Linked DNA regions of Macaca mulatta. The protein of the gene in region 1 interacts with the protein of each later gene in a biochemical or structural test. Links are inferred from orthologs where the notes say so. Each region holds a gene or a part of one and is shown on either strand. Other genes may lie near its edges.

Region 1 (5,046 bases):
CAGGAGAATCGCTTGAACCCTGGAGGTGGAGGTTGCCGAGATTGCACCATTGCACTCCAGCCTGGGCAAAACAAGAGAAAAAAACTCCATCTCAAAAAAAAAAAAAAAAAAAAAAAAAAAAAAAAAAAAAAAAAGAAAGAAACAGGATCAGTAACTTCCCAAAGGTTACACAGCTAGTAAGTGGCAGATTTACAGTAAATTGACTGGGAGTGGTGGCTCACACCGGTAATCCCAGCACTTTGGGAGGCCAAGGTGGGTGGATCACTTGAGGTCAGCAGTTCAAGACCAGCCTGGCCAACATGGCGAAACTCCATCTCTACTAAAAATACACAAATTAGCTGGGCGTGGTGGTGCACACCTGTAGTCCTAGCTGTTTAGGTAGCCGAGGCAGGAGAATCACTTGAACCTGGGAGGCAGAGGTTGCAGTGGGCCAAGGTTGCACCACCGCATTCCAGCCTGGGCTACAGGGCAAGACTGTCTCTCAAAAAAAAAAAGAAAGAAAGAAAAAATAAGCTTTATAGTAAGTCTAAGATTTTTCACAATAGATTTTTCCTCCCTAATCATTTGGCTATTTGTCTTTAACTCTTACAGAAAAGTTGGGTTATAGTCCTGGCTTTGATTACCCATCTCAGTGTCATTGATTGTGCCACCTAAATTTCTCTGGACCTCTTGTCTGGTTGGTTGAATGAGAGGGTTGGACTATGTGATCACCAGGGCCTTTCTAATCGTCAACTCCTAGAATATATATTTTGTGGATTCAGTCTTTGAGTCTAGTTCACTTACTCAGTTTCCTAAATACAATGCCTTCTATTTGGAGCAAATACGGTATACTTTTATTAGTAAGGATGTATCTATCACTTACCTCTAATGTTAGCTGACTGTATGGGTTAAAATTGTAATCATTCATTGCATTTTTCGCCTATTAGTAAATATACATGCTCTCCATAGATGATCACGTCTGCCTCTCACAACAGCTTTATAAAACTCCCATTTTATGGAGGAGGAAGCTAAGGCTCAGACGGTTTTGATTCATCCAAGGTCAAATAGGTTGGGTGGCGGAACCAGAATTCCAGCCCCGTGTGTCTGGCAACAAAGCCTTTATATGTTTAAATAAACATTAATGAAGTCGTATATATTTTCTAATTCTAAGGATCATGGACATTGTTTTTCAACCACAGATTTTTTTCCTCCTTCTTAAATCATTAGCTCTTTGATTTTACTATCTGCTTACTTCCTGCCCACTTAACCAACCGACAGGGAGAAGGAGAGTGGGAAGAAGTTACTGTTTTTATGTTAAGTGCCTTTTCAGAGTCTAATTTACAACCAAGAACGGCAAAAGTACCCCTTGGCTTTGTGCCTCTGCGGCGCTCCGGGGATCTCCTTCCCCGTCCCTCTCCCTTTCCGAGAATCCGCGTTCCGTTGTTGAACTACGTTTCCCAGCGTGCCGCGCGGCCGAGAGAGTGGACTCCATCAGTCCTTCCTCTTTGCCTACCAGCTCGTCGTAGCATGATGATGCAAATGCGTCGGGCGCCTGTGAGTGACGACATTCTGGCTCGCGACCGCGGCAGCCGCCTTAGCCGCGGTAATAGGCGCAACGGCGGCGGAGGCTGCAGGGACGACGACGACGGCGGGGCGGGCGCTGTGCGCACAGGGGAGGGGTAGGCGGGCGGCGCCAGCGGCTTCAACTGCGGCAGCTACGGCTAGGGCGACGGAAGAATCCCCACCAGTCGGCGGTCGAGTTAGGCCTCAGCACCGCCGGGAGCTGTTAGTGCTGTCCTCTGCGGGAGATCTCCATAGAGACCGTGACATACACAGAGGCGGGGGTCCGCAGAGGCGGCGGGACCGGAGCCTCCTCGGCCTCTGCGGCCGCCACCCCCTTCCCCGCTGCCAGCACTCACCCTCTCTCCGCTCCTGCTCGCAACCTCGCGGTTCCTGGGGTGCTTGTGCCCACTGTGTGGACAGCTCGGGCGGACTTTTGGGCCGGGGCCGGGCGGCGGGGGGGGCGCTCTAAGGCCTCCGCCTCTGCCTCTCCCGCCCCCTTACCCGCCCCGGAGCGGGAAGCGGCGGAGGCTCCGCCATGGCCTCGGGAGCCGGAGGAGTCGGAGGGGGCGGTGGCGGCAAGATCCGGACGCGGCGTTGCCACCAGGGGCCAATTAAGCCTTACCAGCAGGGGCGACAACAGCATCAGGTATGGGACCCCGACGCCGCGGTGGCCTGGCGGGTGGGGAAACTCGGCTGGAGGGGACGGGCGGTTCGAGGCCCCGGCGCCCCACGTGGAGCAGACAGGAGGGCCTGAGGAAAGGCCCGAGTGAGGCTTCGGGGGAGCTCAGGCCGTTGGGGGTGGCGACGGGAAGTGGGCTGAGACAGGTCCAGCCTTGCGGCGCACACGTGTGGTTTGGGCCGCCTTTCCCCCAACCCTCTGGGTCAGGGGTTTTCCCAGGCAGGCTCTGGGCGGGAAAAGAAATTGTAGGCCCAGGATGCGCGCGTTTCTTTCTTTTTTGGCGGGGATTTGGAGTTTGAGGGTATTACTCACGTCCTCTCGAGGGAGAAAGGAAAAGTTGTGGTTGATTGCCCTTGTTGTTTTCTGGTGTCCCTCCTTTAGTGTGTGTGTGTGGGGAGTGGGCTGCCCCGAGGAATCTTAACTCTGGGGCAGACGGGGAGTTGTGGGGGGCGCTGTTACATGGAAAGTGGAATAACTTAGTCTCAGCCTATGAATTAATTCTCGGTTTCCCCTGCCGGTGTTCCTCCTCGTCTTGAGAGCATTGGCTTAGGTTTTCTTAACCGGGTTATAGTTAACCGTGGCACTGGGGCATTTTGAAAGTCCCTCTCCACCCTTACGTCTTTTCTCTGCTGCGCGACTCCCCCCCACCCCCGCTTTTATTTTGGAGGCTGGAATTGGCCATTCTCCACAGTTGACCAGGACTCCAGCTCTGATCTCATACACAAAATATTTTAATATTATGAGGCGTATTCTAGAAGTTTAGTTACTTTTGACGCTCCAGGAATGTTGGTGATCTTATAGTTTAGCCAGTGTATGAATTCGTGGATGTTTAAAATTATAAAAAAAGATTATCGTAATTGTAAATGAGGTAGTTGATTCTGAGAAAATTCCATTTTTAAAATAATTGGTTGTTAGAAGGATTGAATAGGAAAATGTTAACTTATTTTAATAAAGCCACTTAAAAATTTATCAATGATACTGAGGTGGGAAGTGTGTGTTTTAAATTTGTTGAAAAACAAAAGTGTAGCAAAAGGATCTGATAACTTGTTGCCTACTGTTAAAGGTAGACTTCCTAGATTACTTTATTCTGGATGCTAATAAATATTACACACTTTCACATGGTTGATGTTGTTAAATTGTGTCATTATCAACAGATTTGTAAAAGTATGGGTCGGGCGCCTTGGCTCACGCCTGCAATCCCAGCACTTAAGGAGGCCAAGGCGGGGGGATCACGAGGTCAGGAGATGGAGACTATCCTGGCTAACACGGTGAAACCCCGTCTGTACTAAAAATATAAAAAAATTAGCCGGGCGTGGTGGCGGGCGCCTGTAGTCCCAGCTACTCGGGAGGCTGAGGCAGGAGAGTAGCGTGAACCCTGGAGGCGGAGCTTGCAGTGAGCCGAGATCGCGCCACTGCACTCCAGCCTGGGCGACAGAGCCAGACTCCGTCTGGGGCGGGGCGGGGGGGAAGGTAAAGATTTGAGGACTTTTTTTTTTTAAGTTTTCTTAAATGTTTTTTATTTTGAGGGAAATGTTTGAGTAGTGAAAATCGTGGCTCAGGTATTTTAAGTCGTTCTCTACTGATGGTTAGGTTTGGCATTGTTATTACTTCTACCAATTTTCCCCGAGATATATATGTAAAGTACTTAGTTTTCAAATTTGTGACGAACAGGGGTATTTGCAAGCAGATTTAAGATTAGAATTCAGGTCACAAGCCTGGCCATTTAACCTAATCCTTCTATAGAATGGAAGTTAGACATGCATGCTTTCTTTTCTCCTATGAATGCCTTTGAGTGCTTAGATTTTCTTGTATGACATGTATAGAAAAATGACGTGTTTTAAATATAGGTCATTGGATGGTCTGGATAGAGGTTAGAAGGGAATTAATATTTTCCAAATGTCTGAAGTTATCACAGCTTATTTTGAAATGTACTTAGATAAAATAAAAATCTAATTTTGGGGAGACGATGCCTTAACAGCATAATACCTATGATCCAAGGTGTCTTAGAGTTGATATGGCTTCAGGCTGTGTAGTTTTGTTTTAAATCTTGATAGTTTATCATTGCCCCTTATCTAAAATACTTTTGCTTCTTGCTCTGGCTATTTAATTAAAAAAGAAAACATATTTTAGCTTTTGAATTGGGAATTAAAGGTATTTAGGGGTTTCTTGATCAACACTGTAGGTGCTCTTTAATATTGTCAGAAACTACCACTACCCAAGAAAAGTATTCAGGTACATTCAAAAGAATACTCTATTTTTTTTTTTTAATCTTAAAAATAAGGGCTTTCTTTAGTCCTTATTGAGACTTTGGTGAACATAGGGTCTACTCACTTGCTGTCTACTATCCTAGACTGTGAACTGGATGTTTTGCAGCAGCTGCTGAGTCATCATGAAGCAAGCTTCATGACATGGCATGTTTTATACTCATGTTATTTGATTAAGTGTCCAAGGGTTTCTGAGCAAAAATTAAGCTTTTGGTAGTATAGCGGAAAGCTGAAGTAAGAAACAGTGAGAGGTCTGGTGCTCTTACTTGATGGATGTTTGCCAGTGCCTGTCAGGGCAACTTGCTAGTACGGTCACCCAGTACCTGTGACTTCTGCATGTGTTCATTTGACTTGTAATTTCCTGTTTTGACTTCTGGATTTAGCTCTCCTGGGAAATGCTATAAGTTTACCACTTTCCCTCTTAAGCTCTGATTTTTTTTTTTTTGAGATGGAGTCTCGTTGTGTGGCCCAGGCTGGAGTGCAGTGGTGCAATCTTGGCTCACTGCAACCTCCGCCTCATGAGTTCACGCCATTCTCCTGCCTCAGCCTCCCAAGTAGTTG
Region 2 (5,159 bases), on another chromosome or scaffold:
CCCTTTATTTTGCACTTACCTTTTGTCTCGTACTTTTCATGCATTGTAACCTTAATATGCCCAGCAACGGCATATGACAGTCTTATGCCAATTTTATAAGTCAAGGAAATTGAGTCATAGAGCGATTAAGTTATTTGCCTAAGATCACAAAACTAGCTAGAGATGCAGCTGGAACTTGAACCCGGGGTCTGAGTACCAGCGCCAGTCCCTTGCCCTTGAGGTCAGTCTACTTGGAGACGTGTACATAGATAATTACAAGTTATAATACACTGTAAGTGGTTACTGTGATAAAGGTGTGTGCAGAGTGCAGTGGGAGCCAGAGAAAGGAAAACCACACACTGAGGGCGAGAAGGAAAGGACAGATGTCCTCAAGAAAGGCTTCACAGAAATTTAAGGATGAAACCTGCGGCCCACTAATGTCTCCTACCCTGCGCTAGTAATGAGTCTCGTTACCCTCCCTCTATAATTCCAACGTCACATTTCTAGTTAATTGTCAACTATAGGCCGGGCGCGGTGGCTCCTGCCCTTAATCCCAGCACTTTGGGATGCTGAGGTGGGCAGATCGCTTGAGCCTAGGAGTTTGAGACCAGTCTGTGCAACATAGTAAAACCCCGTCTTTACAAAAAATACAAAAATTAGCCGGGTGTGGTGGCATGCACCTGTAGTCCCAGCTACTTGGTAGGCTGAGGTGAGACGATTGCTTGAGCCCAGGAGGTTGAGGCGGCACTGACTCGTGATCATGCCACTGCACTCCAGCCAGGGTGACAGAGTGGGACCCTGACGCACCCCATCAAAAAATTACCAACTGAAAACAAATCCCACCCTACTTAGTGACAGAAAATTCAGTCCCCTCTTCCAAACAATCCTGAGAATCCTCAAAGGTTTTCATGCCGCACAAATCCATTCCTGACTAACTTGTTTCCTACTCGTGATTCAGTTAAGGCCAGAGTTTTACACTTGCTTGAACTTCAACCCTGGCATTCCCCAGTTCAGCCTCTTCCTTTCCTCAATAGACAGCATTCCAGGCCGGGTGTGGTGGGCTCATGCCTGTAATCCCAGCATTTTGGGACGCCAAGGCAGGCGGATCACTTGAGGTCAGGAGTTCAAGACCAGCCTGGCCAACATGGTGAGACCCCCCATCTCTACTAAAAAAGAAAAATACAAAAATTAGCCAGACATGGTGGTACACTCCTGTAATCCCAGCTACTTGTAAGGCTGAGACAGGAGAATTGCTTGAACCTGGGAGGTGGAGGTTGCAGTGAGCGGAGATCACATCACTGCACTCTAGCCTAGGCAACAGAGCAAGACTCTGTCTCAAAAAAAAAAAAAAAAAATTCCAGAATTCTGCTGCAAGCCACCACCTAGAGCTTCAGAATCACCAGCCACACACCTGCAGCTACCACCACTCTGGCCTGGGGGCTGGGGTCATATCCTAGAGGATGGAAGCAAATCTTAAGTGTGGACACAGCCCCCTCCCTTATTCCCCTAAGCATAGCAAACACCAACCAGGCTGTTGCTGAAAGTTTGGGGCATTACAAAGCTGAGAAGACTTAGAAGTGGCTATTAGATTATGCAGCATCTATAGTCCCTGGCCTGTCTCGCAAAGGAATTCTCTTCACCTCAAGGCCATCCCTTTACTCTTAACACCTTTGGCAAGCTGTCAACAGAAGGGACTTTTCCCTCTACCTCTATCCCGACATATTTCAGGCTGGACTCCCCGTAAATGTAATCAGAGTCAGGACTCCTATTAACAAAAGACAACCATTGGCATTATTGTGCAGAGCAGTTCAGTTACGTCTGTCCCTTCCACTCACTATGAGTGTTGGGCTTTGCCTTTGCCAAACCAAGAAGCCCGCTCAAGTACTGGGAGAGGATTCTCCCAAATAAAAGAGCAGTCTTCATTTAAACACAAATCATACGTCCTAAGAGAACGATTTTTTTCCAAGTTAAAAAAAAAAAAACACATAAATCAGAAAACTACAAGCTGCTGCCGGGCACGGTGGCTCACACCTGTAATGCCAGCACTTTGGGAGGCTGAGGCAGGCAGATCACAAGGTCAAGAGATCGAGACCATCCTGGCCAACATGGTGAAACCCCGTCTCCACTAAAAATTAACTGGGCGTGGTGGCGCGTGCCTGTAATCCCAGCTACTCTGGAGGCTGAGGCAGGAGAATTGCTTGAACCCGGAGGCAGAGGTTGCGGTGAGCCGAGATCACACCACTGCACTCCAGCCTGGCAACAGAGTGAGACTGTCTCAAACAAAACAAAACAAAACAAAACAAACAACAAACAAACAAAAACTACAAGCTGCTTTTGAATAGCAACCTATTCCAGGTCTGGCCACTGAGATTTAAGAAATATTGTGGTAGGCTGGGTGTGGTGACTCATGCCTGTAATCCCAGCACTTCGGGAGGTCCAGGCCGAATGATCGCTTGAGCCAGGGAGTTTGAGACCAGCCTGGGCAACACAGGGAGACCCTGTCTTTAAAAAAATTTTATTTTTAATTAGCCAAGAGTGGTGGCATGTGCCTGTAGTCCCAGCTACTTGAGAGACTGAGGTGGGAGGTCAAGGCTGCAGTGAGCTGTGATTTCACCACTGCACTCCAGCCTAAGTGACAGAGTGAGATTTATAATCTCAAAAAAAAAAAAGAAAAGAAAAAGAAAAAAATATATTGGGGTCACACTTGATAGCCCTGAGGTGCAACACAACAACACATTTTTTTTTTCCTTTTCCTGCCTCATAAATAGCACCCTTACAAACTCAATACTGAAACACAGGCCATCTGCCAGGAAGAGTGAGAAGGCTTCAGAATTACAGATCTCAATCAGAATCCCAGGGCCCCAACAGCAAACAATAACTCAAGAAACGAACGTGGCAATCCTCAGCCTCCCACCATGCATGCTCCCTCCATATCCTCTCAGTTACCCTCTAGAAGGAAGAAAAGGAGACACATCCTTATACTCGCTCCCACCTGGGACTTGTCTGCCGATTGGTGCCTTCGCTGTCCTGTGGTCCACAGTAGAGACATGGGTGACTGTCCAGCCACTGGCCAAGTGGGATTATCCTTAACCCCAACCCCACCACTGCCACAGCCTTGCCAGGACCCAGCAGCTCTTTACTGGAAGGCCATAGGAGAATCCCAAGGCCATATGGAGTAACAAGGACATTGAGATATCTGCCCTTGGCTTGGATAATTTTCAGCTTTGTACTGCAAGAGGGGCACAACCTCATTGCTTAAGCTTTTGTAGGTGTTCCAACCAGATGCCACAGTTCTCCAAGAAGATGCTTATCCCCTTCCAGCTGAGAGCAGCTCCTTGAAGCCTTTTCAGGGCCCCACCCCCTTCTTCCTCCAAACCTACCTCCCCTCCAATCCATTCTTTAGTCTTGCAAATTTCCCCTTTTAAAGCATTCAAAGAACGTTAACGAATTTCTTCTCAACTTTGTTTTTCCTGACCCCTGGACAGAAAAGAATTCTAGGCCATCTGTGGGAAGGGGTAAGGGCGCCTAGAGGAGGTCGTGTTGGCTTAGGCCTAATGTGCCTAAAATCCAACATAATTCACCACTCTGAAGAGTAATTTCTTTCTAGGTACCAACTCTTCTGGTACTTAAGAAAAACGTGTCCTCCTAATACTAAGTGACAGAGTGAGATTTATAGTCTCAAAAAAAGAAAAAGGAAAAGAAAAAAATATATTGGGGTCACACTTGATAGCCCTCCAGTGCAACACGACAACACACGAAGACTGATCTTATTCAATCTGTGCAATAATAACCTGGGCCATACTATACCAAAGGTGAATACACCCCTTTTGTGTCATAAATTTCATCATAAAACTGGCCAACATTGACTGCAAATGGCCCAGCCCACCTCCTATGGAGACATAGCGCCACACCTTACCTAAGCCTGCGTCCTGATCTATAAAATGGAGTTAATAAAACCTGCCTCTCAGATCTATGGATAGTTAAATATGTTTGTGAGCCAGGCGCAGTGACTCAGGCCTGTAATCCCAGCAGTTTGGGAGGCTAAGGTGGGCAGATCACTTGAGGTCAGGAGTTCCAGACCAGCCTGAGCAACATGGTGAAGCTCCGTCTCTACTAAAAATACAAAAATTTAGCCGGGCGTGGTGGTGGGTGCCTGTAATCCTGCCTACTCAGAAGGCTGAGGCATGAGAATCGCTTGTACCCGGGAGGCTGATATTGCAGTGAGCCGAGATCATACCACTACACTCCAGACTGGGCGACAGAGGGAGACTGTCTCAAAAAAAAAAAAAAAAAAAAGAAAAGAAAAGAAAAGATGATGGGCATTGTGGCTCACACCTGTAATCCCAGCACTTTGGGACACTGAGGAGGGTGGATCATGAGGTCAGTAGTTTGAGACCAGGCTGGCCAATATGGTGAAACCCCATCTCTACTAAAAAAATACAAAAATTAGCCAGGCGTGGTGACGTGCGCCTATAGTCCCAGCTACTCGGGAGGCTGAGGCAGGAGAATCACTTGAACCCGGGAGACGGAGGTTGCAGTGAGCCGAGATCGTGCCACTGCACTCCAGCCTGGGTGTCAGAGCAAGACTCCCTCTCAAAAAAAAAAAAAAAAAAAAAAGGAAAAGAAAGAAAAGAAAAGGAAGAAAAGGAAAAGTGTTTATATAGACGAAGGGCCTAGTCAGTGCCCAGCACAGCTAGCTGATGCTTAACATTTCTCTTGCCTCTCCTTCCTTTTCATATCTAATAAATCTTAACTTGCCTGGTCTGTATCATTCCTCTTTCCAAACCTATCAGAACTACAGTCCTTCCTTTTTTTTTTTTTTTTTTTTTTGAGACAGAGTCTCCGTCTGTTGCCCAGGCTGGGCAGTGGTGCTATTACAGGTGCCTGCCACCACATCCGGCTAATTTTGTATTTTTTGTAGAGACGGAGTTTCACCATGTTGGACATGCTGGTCATGAACTCCTGGCCTCAAGTGGTCCACCCACCTCAGCCTCCCAAAGTGCTGAGATTACAGGTGTGAGCCACCTACCGCACCTGGCCCAGAACTACAGTCCTTTATAGGGGCTGATCATTTCTCACACGGTTGCAATAGACATTTCTGCTTCTGCCTTTCGTCTTGTTAACTTATGCTGTTTGCAGGATGATCTCTCTTGTTGTCTTTTGTCTTTTGTTCTTCTGTT
Region 3 (4,978 bases), on another chromosome or scaffold:
CTCTTTCTTCCTCTTTCACCATGTGGGGCAGGGAACCCTGAGCCCTTCAGCTGCCTGCACAACCCCTGACATTGGCTGCTGGTGACTCTCAATCTGCCAAATGTGCTGCAGCCCGTTTTCTCCCAATTACAGCAAGACTGTCAGCCTCACTAGCCATGTCATCATTTCTGGGTGGGAGCGTCGAAGGGCCTAGGCAGCGAGTGGAGTGAGCCCACTGCCCAGTACCAGAACTGAAAGGGTTGGGCTAATGGCTGTGCCAGGTATCACTGCTGAGGCAGGCTATTTTGGGCTCTGACACACAGCTGCCTCTAGACAGGGGAGAACCAAGTGTTGCAACACTTGATTAGCATGGAAACTTCCTTTCACACAGAAGCAGGATCCCAGAGGGGGTCCCTGATTGGTGGCAGCTTCCAAGACCATCTCAAACAGTGTTTGGACCTGTTTCATCTGTATCCTCCAACTATTTGGCCGTAATTCTTCCTTGAGCTAAGCAAGGCAGAAGCTCTGCCTGCTGCCAGGAGTGGAAGGTGAAGAATTTGTTCCCAACTCCAGTTGAGGCTTTTGATTCCCTCAAAGCACTTCACCAAATCAAAGCCAGTCACAGAGAATGGAGGAAACACCTGCCCAAAATACCCACCGTCCAGAGAGATTAATGTGCTTTGTTCTTCCTGACCAAGACTCGCAACCACATTCTGAGGACGCTCCAGTGCCCCTGTCTCATACATTCCAAAGGAAGCTGAAGCTATAGAGACAACAATCAATCAGGGGCTGATGGTGGTGCTTTTGGGGGTCTAGGAGAGCCCAAGGCCCTGATATTTTAAAATGTCCTCCTCCTCGGCATCTCCAGCAAGTTGCCACTGCTGGTGAGCTTCACTGTCTGCCCCGTTGACACGATGGGTTTCTAACAGGGGACGCCATTGATGGAAGGTCTGTGAAGACAATGCTCGGCAAACCCCTGACAGATGTCGTCTCATTTGACTCAGCAACTCAGGGTGGGGTGGGGGAAATTCACAGAATAGAAATTCATTTATTTCACAAATACATGTTGAATTTTTACTATGTGCCAGGCATAGTACCTGCCGAGTCAAGCCCTCGAGGGAAAAAAAGCCTTTAGTCAACGTTCGAGCTCACATTCTAATTCTCAACTTCGTGATTTGTTAATCCATCTTATAGGCGAAGAAAGCGAGGCATAGACAAGGAGCCGAGCTGACACACTGGCTAGATGCGGGTAGGGGTCTGAGCCATCACTCCCACCCGGAGGCGCGGTCTCCATTCCTCGGAAGCCCTTGGTACGGCCCCGTTCCCCGCTGAGTTCTGGGCTGCAGCGGCAGCACTCTGCTCTAGCACTAACTCAAGCTGCCAGGGCAGCGTCAGCGGACAGATGAAAACATGCGGGGACCTGCTGGCTACCAGCCGGGGTTCCGCAAGCTCAGGTCTTGGGCGGGGCGCGGAGGGTCAGGCCCCGCCCCTCGCACGACGGCCTTAAGTGTGCGCACGCGCAGGGGGTCGCGCTTTCTCCGGGCGGCGACACCGCCTCCAGCCTGGGACGTCAGCGGCGCGCGACGTGCTTTGCTATATAAATGCGGTGGCGCCCGGCGTAGGGACACTTCGGTCCTGAGTGCTTGGGCGTTCGGTCGTTTGCCGGCGTAGCGGCCAGCGCTTGAGCCCGCCCTTGCTCTTCGCTGTGGCATGGCGGACGAGGGGAAGTCGTACAGCGGTCAGTGCTGGTCCTCGGGTCGGGAACCGGCTATCTGGGGCGCGGGTGGGCGGCGCCGGCCTAGGCCTCAGCCTCCGGGGCGTGAGGCCGCCAGGGGCCCGACGTCCGCGGGGAGCGGCGCGCGGGGGGTCGGGGGCACTCGAGGTGGATTACCGAGTTGTTGACTCCTGGATTCCTCCTGGAATCCTGGTGTTGGGGGACCTGCGGCTCGGAGCGGGTGGCTCGGGGGTAGGGGGACGGGATTCCTTTGAACTTTGTGGGTGGTTGATGCCTGTCAGTTCGGTTTGGCGGCCTGACTCTTCCTTTAATGTGAGTTAGTGCCCTACTCATGGGCTGCCCTGGTGCCCTATTTTTTACTGCGTCCAGTCGGTCTTGAACCCTCGGGCCTGGGCTTTGGCTTAATATTCGAGACTTACACATCAACTGGATGTTCCAGTCTGAACACTACACTGGGTGTTAGTTCTTTGTAGTAGTTAGGAGTGCATGGTGGAGGTTGAAACCGTGAATTTAAAACTCTCCTCTTCCACCCCTTTAAAGTGGAATAACAACAGTATTTCTTAAGAGTTGGGGGGGAAGTAGGGGGGAAAATGAGATCATTCCTATCAAGTGCCTGAAGCATAGTGGCCGGTACTGGAGAACAGTTCTCAATGAATGTTAGCTGCGCCTTCTGTGTTCTTTTTTCCTAGGGTCATTTGTTGAGATTCATTGTTTACAGAGTGCTCGGTATTAGGCAGATCTCTTTTGGGAGTTAGGGACCCTTTTTAAGACGCTAGTCCTGCACAGCATGAATCAGATCATATTCCTGGAGAGCATTCCAGGGTCCCTGGTTAAGCACCCTAGCCTGGCACTACCACTAGAGCCTGAGTCTAGAAATTGTCTCCTGAGTTAAAGGGCATTTCTGGCCAAGGAATCGAAGAGCTCCTCAGAAAACTTCAAAGTGGCAATTTGAGAACAAGGAGAATTTTTAGAGGATCCTTAAACTGATCATATTTGTAACTGGCATCTGTACTGTATAGACAAAGTATTGAGTGGCAGATTTCAGGTGGCTTTCAGAGGTCTGATTTGTGTTCACTTACACTTTGGGGTCTCACATTTATACATTCTGCTTCTAATTCCAGTTTCTACTTCATTTTTCAAAAGCCCTGCACAGATTTCCAATAACTTTTCCTTGATGCTGACCTCCCACAGAGAGAGTTCTTTCCTGTGGACAGGCAGCGGAGTTTGCATGGAGATGGCCTGTGTAGTTAGTATGTATCTCTTCCAGTAGTTCAGAGTAGAAACTATGATTGCCACACCAAGCCGGACCAGTTACTTCTAATTTGTGTTCCTGTTTCTAACTCCAGAACACGATGATGAACGCGTTAATTTCCCTCAAAGAAAGAAAAAAGGCCGGGGTCCCTTCCGGTGGAAATATGGTGAAGGAAACCGTAGGTCTGGAAGAGGCGGTTCTGGTATTCGGTCTTCCCGCCTGGAGGAAGATGATGGAGATGTGGCAATGAGTGATGCCCAGGATGGTCCCCGAGTACGATAGTAAGTGACCAGTTGGTCTGGTTTGAATTTAGTGGCTCATGAGATTATATGGCCCTTTTACTGTCCATGTCATTTTCCTTCCCACCTGTTATAGTGAGAAATGCCAGGACTAGCTTAGCGATTGAACAGTCTTAGTTTAGTCCCGCCAACACAGTGCAGGAAGGTCTTTGAGAAGACTTTCCTAGCATTTGTGGTCATTTTATCCTCTGTTTACCCACAGCAACCCCTATACCACCCGACCTAACCGTCGGGGTGATACTTGGCATGATCGAGATCGCATTCATGTTACTGTGCGGAGAGACAGAGCTCCTCCAGAGAGAGGAGGGGCTGGCACCAGCCAGGATGGGACCTCAAAGAACTGGTTCAAGATTACAGTGAGTACTTTGAGCAAGTAGATGGTACAGTAGAGATCGGAGGCCACGCTCAGAGTAGAGATGTTTAATTTTATTCCACAAAAATTATTCTTTTTTTTTTTTTCGAGACGGAGTCTCGCTCTGTCGCCTAGGCTGGAATGCAGTGGCCGGATCTCAGCTCACTGCAAGCTCCGCCTCCGGGGTTCACGCCATTCTCCTGCCTCAGCCTCCCGAGTAGCTGGGACTACAGGCACCTGCCACCACGCCCGGCTAGTTTTTTTATTTTTTAGTAGAGACGGGGTTTCACCGGGTTAGCCAGGATGGTCTGGATCTCCTGACCTCGTGATCCGCCCGTCTCGGCCTCCCAAAGTGCTGGGATTACAGGCTTGAGCCACCGCGCCCGGCCTTTTTTTTTTTTTTTTTTTAATGGAATCTTGCTCTGTCATCCAGGCTGGAGTGCGGTGGCGTGATCTCGGCTCACTGCATCCTCCGCCTCCTGGGTTCAAGCGATTCTTCTGCCTCAGCCTCCTGAGTAGCTGGGACTACAGACACCCACCACCACGCCCAGCTAATTTTTATATTTTTAGTAGAGACAAGGTTTCACTGTATTGGCCAAGCTGGTCTTGAACTGCTGACTTCGTGATCCGCCCGCCTTGGCCTCCCAAAGTGCTGGGATTATAGGCATGAGCCAGCGCGCCCAGCCCAAAAATTATTCTTGTTAGCTGATTACGCCATAGTCAAGTATCTGTCTCTTCTCCTAGGAATCAGTATCTTCCAACACCTTAGAGCAGGTTCAGAGAAGGGGTGGAAGAGAAATACGAAAACTGTGGTTGTGGAAGGAGTAATTCCTCTGGATGTCTTCATTTGGCTCAGGCTGAGTATGGGGCTTGGAGTCCATGAAGTTCTCTGAGGGACAGGCAAGGTGTAAATAATATCTTGAAACTTTTAGAATAAAAAAAATTGATTTTTTTTTTTTTTTTTTTGAGACGGAGTCTCGCTCTGTCGCCCAGGCTGGAGTGCAGTGGCGCAATCTCGGCTCACTGCAAGCTCCGCCTCCCGGGTTCACGCCATTCTCTGGCCTCAGCCTCCTGAGTAGCTGGGACTACAGGCGCCCGCCACTGCGCCCGGCTAATTTTTTCTATTTTTAGTAGAGACAGGGTTTCACCATGGTCTCAATCTGCTGACCTTGTGATCCGCCCGCCTCGGCCTTCCAAAGTGCTGGGATTACAGGCGTGAGCCACCGCGCCCGGCCGATTTTTTTTTTTGGAGGGATTATAAGCGTAAGTGGGCTGGGTACAGTGGCGCATGCCTGTAATGCCAGCAGTTTGAGAGGCCGAGGTGGAGGATCACTTGAGGCTGGGAGTTCAAGACCAGTCTG
Region 4 (5,165 bases), on another chromosome or scaffold:
TACTGTATGCACATTTTTTTCTTTTCTTTGAGACGGAGCGCAATATCGGCTCACTGCAACCTCTGCCTCCAGGGTTCAAGAGATCGTCCTGCCTCGGCCTCAGGAGTAGCTGGGACTATAGGCATGCGCCACCACGCCGGGCTATTTTTTTGTATTTTAGTAGAGACGGGGTTTCACCATGTTGGCCAGGATGGTCTCCGACTCGTGATCCGCCCCGCTCGGCCTCCCAAAGTGCTGGGATTACAGGCATCAGCCACCGCATCCGGCCCACATTTTCTTTATATGCATTTTGCTAAGAAAAGGCATTCATGAGTTTCTTCAGGAGTTCAGAACTAAAACAGGTCAAGAACCACGATCCTTTATGCCTGTACACACATTCTTTCTGGTTCGAGGTTGAGCCTTTACAGGGTGAAGCATTTCCATTCTGTCAAGGATGGGGTGTCTAAGTGTAGGATTCCCTTAGCTCACCCCTAAGCAAGTCAGACTTAGTACAGGTCTCAAGCCCTATATAAGCAGGCCTAGGGGACTCCTTGGAGAGAAAGCTGCTTGTAGGGACAACGGCAGTCAGGAGAGCTTGAGCTTATCAAGCCACTAACCAGCTGTACGACCTTGGACAAGTTCCATACCCTCTAGGCTCCTGAACCCATTCCTTACCAAGCCACTAACCGGCTGTGTGACTTTGGGCAAGTTCCATACCCTCTCTGGGCTTCAGTTTCCACATCTACACATTTCAAGTGGAGCCACATGGCCTTACGGATCCGTCCCAGCCAAGAGCAGGGTACCAAGCCGACCTAGCCATTAAAGCAGCTTCCTGCGGGCGCGGCGCAGGACTTCAACGGTCCCCCCTCCCCCGCTCACGCCCGCGAAAGCCTCGCTCAACACGCCCCTCGGAGCGACGGCGCTTACCCAACCGCAGCCCCAGCGGTCGAACCCAGCTCCGCCTCTTCCCGGGGGCGTCCCATCGTGCCCCGCGCCGGGCTCCGAGGGCAGCCGGGCGCCTCCCGCCTTCCCGCGCCCCGACCCCGAACTCCTCTCCCCAGTTCTCCCAGGCACCCTATCCTATCAACGCCCACTATCCCAGCCAATCGCGCAGGCTCCGAGTCGTGCCTTCGGTCCACCCTCCTCGGCGCTCAGCCGGTCTGAGCTCAAGGCCTTTACCAAGCCCAACCCAATCAGCGGCGGGCTCTCTCCGGCCCCATCCCAATCTCCCTCCCCTCGGCCAATTAGGGCGCTCCATTCCCCTGCCCGCCCAGCCACCCGGGCCTTGAAACCAGCAGGCGAATGGGCGAAAGGCGGCCTTTCGACGCTGAGCGCCTGGCCAATTGGGGATTCCGCGTGGCCAGAACAGCGGCCAATCGCCGTGGAGCGCGGCGCCGCCGCGGCGAGGTCCGGCCCGAATATCCCTCCGCCTTCCTCCCGCCCTCGCTCCCTCCCTGCGTGCCGCCTCTCACTCACAGCTTCTCTTCCTTCTTTCTCCCTCCGCCTCCCGAGCACCAGCGCGCTCTGAGCTGCCCCCGGGGTCCCTCCCCCGCTGCCAGCAGCCCATTCGGAGGGAGGAAGTAAGAGAAGAAGAGACTAAGGGGAGCTGGAGCGACTACCCAGAAAGAGCCGGTGAATGGGCTTGTGGTGACCCCCGCCCCCCACCCCACCCTCCCTTCCCACCCGACCCCCAACCCCCATCCCCAGTTCGAGCCGCCGCCCGAAAGGCCGGGCCGTCGTCTTAGGAGGAGTCGCCGCCGCCGCCACCTCCGCCATGGAGCTGATCACCATCCTCGAGAAGACCGTGTCTCCCGGTAGGACGCAGGAGCCGGGGGTCGGGCTGAGGTGATTGGGGTGGGGGAGGGGAGGCCCGGCCCCTCTGACCCCGCTCCGTCTCCCACTTTCCTCCCCCCAGATCGGCTGGAGCTGGAAGCGGCGCAGAAGTTCCTGGAGCGTGCGGCCGTGGAGAACCTGGTGCGTGCTACCCCGCCGCGCCCATCCCGCCGCGTCCCCATCCCCTGCGTGCGGGGCCTTCCCGCCCTCCGGGAGGCCCAGGCCTCGGGAACCTACCCCGCCCCATCCCGTCCCCCTCCCCCCCAACCCGGTCCAACCTAACCCCGCCATCGGGAAGCCGGTGGGTGTGTCCCGCCCCGGGCCCTGCGACTGGCCAATGGCGGGGCGCGCCGGGCTGCCTGTCGCCCAATCATTGCGCGGCCTGAGGGCGGCGGTGCAGCGGGAGGGAGAAAGAGGGAGGGAAGGGAAGTTAGGTTGCGCGGCGCTGCGTGTTCAGCAGAGGTGGGGGTGGGGGAGTCAGGCCTAGGGGCCATGTGGAAGCTCTGGGCCCGGGTGCCCTCCCTGTCTGACCCCGGCCGGCTTATCCTTCCTGTCCCGTGGCCCCTGTGGCTCTCCCCACCTATTTCCTAGAGCTCTGCCCTTTCCTCGCTACCTTGGTGTGTGCTCATGGCCAGGCCTGGCACCCGACTGCCTCTTAACCCATTTCCACTAATATTTTTCCCTCTTCTGCCCGGTTATTCCTCTCGGGGTATTTTCTTTTTCTTCCTTTTTTTTTTTTTTCCTTTCCTTCTGACCTGGATGAATAGAAACCTAATCACTAGGGATCTGCACCCAGACAACAGTCTGAGGCTCATCTTTGAGATCGGGCCTGTTTCCTGATGAAATCACAGAGGAAAGTTACTCGTTTTTCATATTTTAAAATTTAAGGGGTCCGGAGAAAATGAAGCTAAGTCCGCTAGAGACTGGTCCTTTGTATAAAAATGTAGGATGGATTGGTTGAAACAGCCTAGATGCCAGTTAAGTTTCTCTTTGGTGTCCATCTCCTATTGGGAGATGGGGTCAGAGGGAAGGATTGGATGATGCTTGACATCTTTGAGAAAGGTAATAGGAAATAAGTCTGAATAACATTGTAACCATATGTGTTTCTTTGTGTTATATAGGCAAAATGTCAACATCAACAAAGTGACAAGGCTTATTTTATACAGGCTGCCTTTGAATGATTTTTTTTTTGTTCTTCATATGTGCCAATTTTTACAACTAACCTGTTTATCCTTTCCTAGAATAGATTTTTCCACTAGTATAGGCTGATAATTCCATTTAGGGTATTATTCCTGTTTCTGCTTTTGCTAATTTTGCAAGAAGCTTTTTATCTTATTCCTAACATTCTTAACATTCTTTAGTGGTACATAATTAATAAAACTTTTAAGAATTATCTTCTGCTGTGATTGCAGAACTTGTTAGCAGTAAGAAAAATGTATCTGCTTTTGGCTTTTCCTGCTAACTTTGCTGTTTGGGCACGGTTTTTTTGCTGGAGAGAGAGGTGTGTGTGTTAAATTTTTAAACAAAGGGAGTAGTTTTTGAGGCCTGTGGATTACAAAAGGTTACAAAAGAACATGCTTTTCAGGGATCCACTGTATTCCTCAACTAAAGTCCAAATGTATAGGAGCAAGTAATTGTTGATTATTAGATACAAAGTTATTTTTCTTGAACAGCTTGCCTGAAGATTTTTTTCTTTCACTTTTTCCCTATTTCTAAATATCTTACCAATTTTCCTTGTAAATCTGCTTTTTTCGTTGTTCCCTTTTTGCTGAGTGCCCACAAATAAAACGGAGGATGAGGCTCCTAAGTTTGTTTAGGCTTATCTATATTTCCCTCTCTCATAAAAGATCACCTCCTTCCATGGGATGAAAAGCTACCCTGCTGCTGCCATGAGATGGAAAGTTGGATCATTCTTTTGGGACCAAGGTTTTTGAAATTTAGATAAACAGTTTTATTTTCTACCCGCATCGTAACAGCCATTCATTCAAGTACCAGACATTATTAAGAATTCTTGGGACACCTCGGTATACACAGAAGACTAACTACTACCATACTCTAAAACCTTGCAATTCAGGGAGTATAACGTGACAATTTGGGTACTAGGAATGATTTTGATAGGAAAATCTGCAATTCCTCATTAAGTGCTAGGCTCCATGAGAAAGGTGGAAGACTTCCTGTTATATACTAAGTAACATTTTTATAGAAGTCTTGTAGTAGGTATTTTGTGGTTTCCTGAGATGCTTATGATATACCAAAAAAAAATTAGACATTAGTTCCCCCCCCCACCTCACCCCTCCTCCGGTGGTTCAGTGCTCCATAAATTATTCTCAGTTGTGGAAATTCCCAAGATAATTTTATTTACAAATTTATCTTCCCTTAACAGCCCACTTTCCTTGTGGAACTGTCCAGAGTGCTGGCAAATCCAGGAAATAGTCAGGTTGCCAGAGTTGCAGCTGGTCTACAAATCAAGAACTCTTTGACATCTAAAGATCCAGATATCAAGGCACAATATCAGCAGAGGTGGCTTGCTATTGATGCTAATGCTCGACGAGAAGTCAAGAACTATGTGAGTAACACTCATCTGTTTGGTTATATTACCTAGAGAACAAGAAATTGCTTTCTCAGATCTTTTGCTATTTGCATGGGATAGAGCTGACAGTGTGATAGGTTTCTGGGACTTGAACTTCACCTAAAGATAAAAATTGTCTTTGTCTTAAATCTTTCTCAACACAGCTTGTCCATTCCCATTGATGGATTGGAATTCTTTTTAGATGATTGAGGTAGGCTGCAGCAGCTTGGGAAACTTTAATTGTGTGTCATAATTTGTAAAAATCTGTTTGACAAATGGGAGTAGTGTATAAATTGGTGCTCTATACCCACATCACTTAGGGAATTTGTTAATACGTATTTCCCAGCTCTCCAGAAATTCCGATTTGGTACTTCTGGAGTACAGCTCAGGCACTTTTTTGTTTTTTTTTGGAGGCGGAGTCTTGCTCTGTTGCCCAGGCTGGAGTGCAATGGCATGATCTTGGCTCACTGCAACCTCTGCCTCCCGGGTTCAAGAAGTTATCTGCCTCAGCCTCCCAAGTAGCTGGGATTACAGGCACCCGTCACCACGCCCAGCTAATTTTTGTATTTTTAGTAGAGACGGGGGTTCACCATCTTGGCTAGAGTGGTCTTGAACTCCTGACCTCATGATCCATCTGCCTCGGCCTCCCAAAGTGCTGGGATTACAGGCGTGAGCCACTGCACCTGGCCAAGGGATGTTTTTTAAACTGTCTCCCCAAGTGATTATCCAGTCAACCAGCACCTGGCTCTTGTTGAACTTCTGCTGTTTAAATCTCAATCTTTGG

What was found.
Region 2: the proteins of NUP153 (region 1) and SENP2 form a complex in vitro, tested with the Homo sapiens proteins (2 studies listed by BioGRID). The link is inferred for Macaca mulatta from reciprocal best matches to the Homo sapiens genes NUP153 and SENP2.
Region 3: the proteins of NUP153 (region 1) and NXF1 form a complex in vitro, tested with the Homo sapiens proteins (2 studies listed by BioGRID and IntAct). The link is inferred for Macaca mulatta from reciprocal best matches to the Homo sapiens genes NUP153 and NXF1.
Region 4: the proteins of NUP153 (region 1) and KPNB1 form a complex in vitro, tested with the Homo sapiens proteins (4 studies listed by BioGRID and IntAct, with this or other methods). The link is inferred for Macaca mulatta from reciprocal best matches to the Homo sapiens genes NUP153 and KPNB1.

What each region holds. Positions count from the first base shown.
Region 1 is NC_133409.1:165,356,199-165,361,244, forward strand, and holds the start of NUP153 (nuclear pore complex protein Nup153), read left to right. Parts: upstream 1-1,903; 5' UTR 1,904-2,077; coding exon 2,078-2,188; intron 2,189-5,046. UniProt on the Homo sapiens protein: Component of the nuclear pore complex (NPC), a complex required for the trafficking across the nuclear envelope. Functions as a scaffolding element in the nuclear phase of the NPC essential for normal nucleocytoplasmic transport of proteins and mRNAs.
Region 2 is NC_133407.1:97,734,085-97,739,243, reverse strand, and holds the start of SENP2 (sentrin-specific protease 2), read right to left. Parts: upstream 3,289-5,159; 5' UTR 3,232-3,288; coding exon 2,972-3,231; intron 1-2,971. UniProt on the Homo sapiens protein: Protease that catalyzes two essential functions in the SUMO pathway.
Region 3 is NC_133419.1:11,250,177-11,255,154, forward strand, and holds the start of NXF1 (nuclear RNA export factor 1), read left to right. Parts: upstream 1-1,603; 5' UTR 1,604-1,689; coding exon 1,690-1,717; intron 1,718-3,060; coding exon 3,061-3,247; exon of another isoform or gene 3,248-3,278; intron 3,279-3,432; exon of another isoform or gene 3,433-3,467; coding exon 3,468-3,621; intron 3,622-4,978.
Region 4 is NC_133421.1:62,381,159-62,386,323, reverse strand, and holds the start of KPNB1 (importin subunit beta-1), read left to right. Parts: upstream 1-1,413; 5' UTR 1,414-1,753; coding exon 1,754-1,793; intron 1,794-1,894; coding exon 1,895-1,953; intron 1,954-2,211; exon of another isoform or gene 2,212-2,874; intron 2,875-4,195; coding exon 4,196-4,378; intron 4,379-5,165.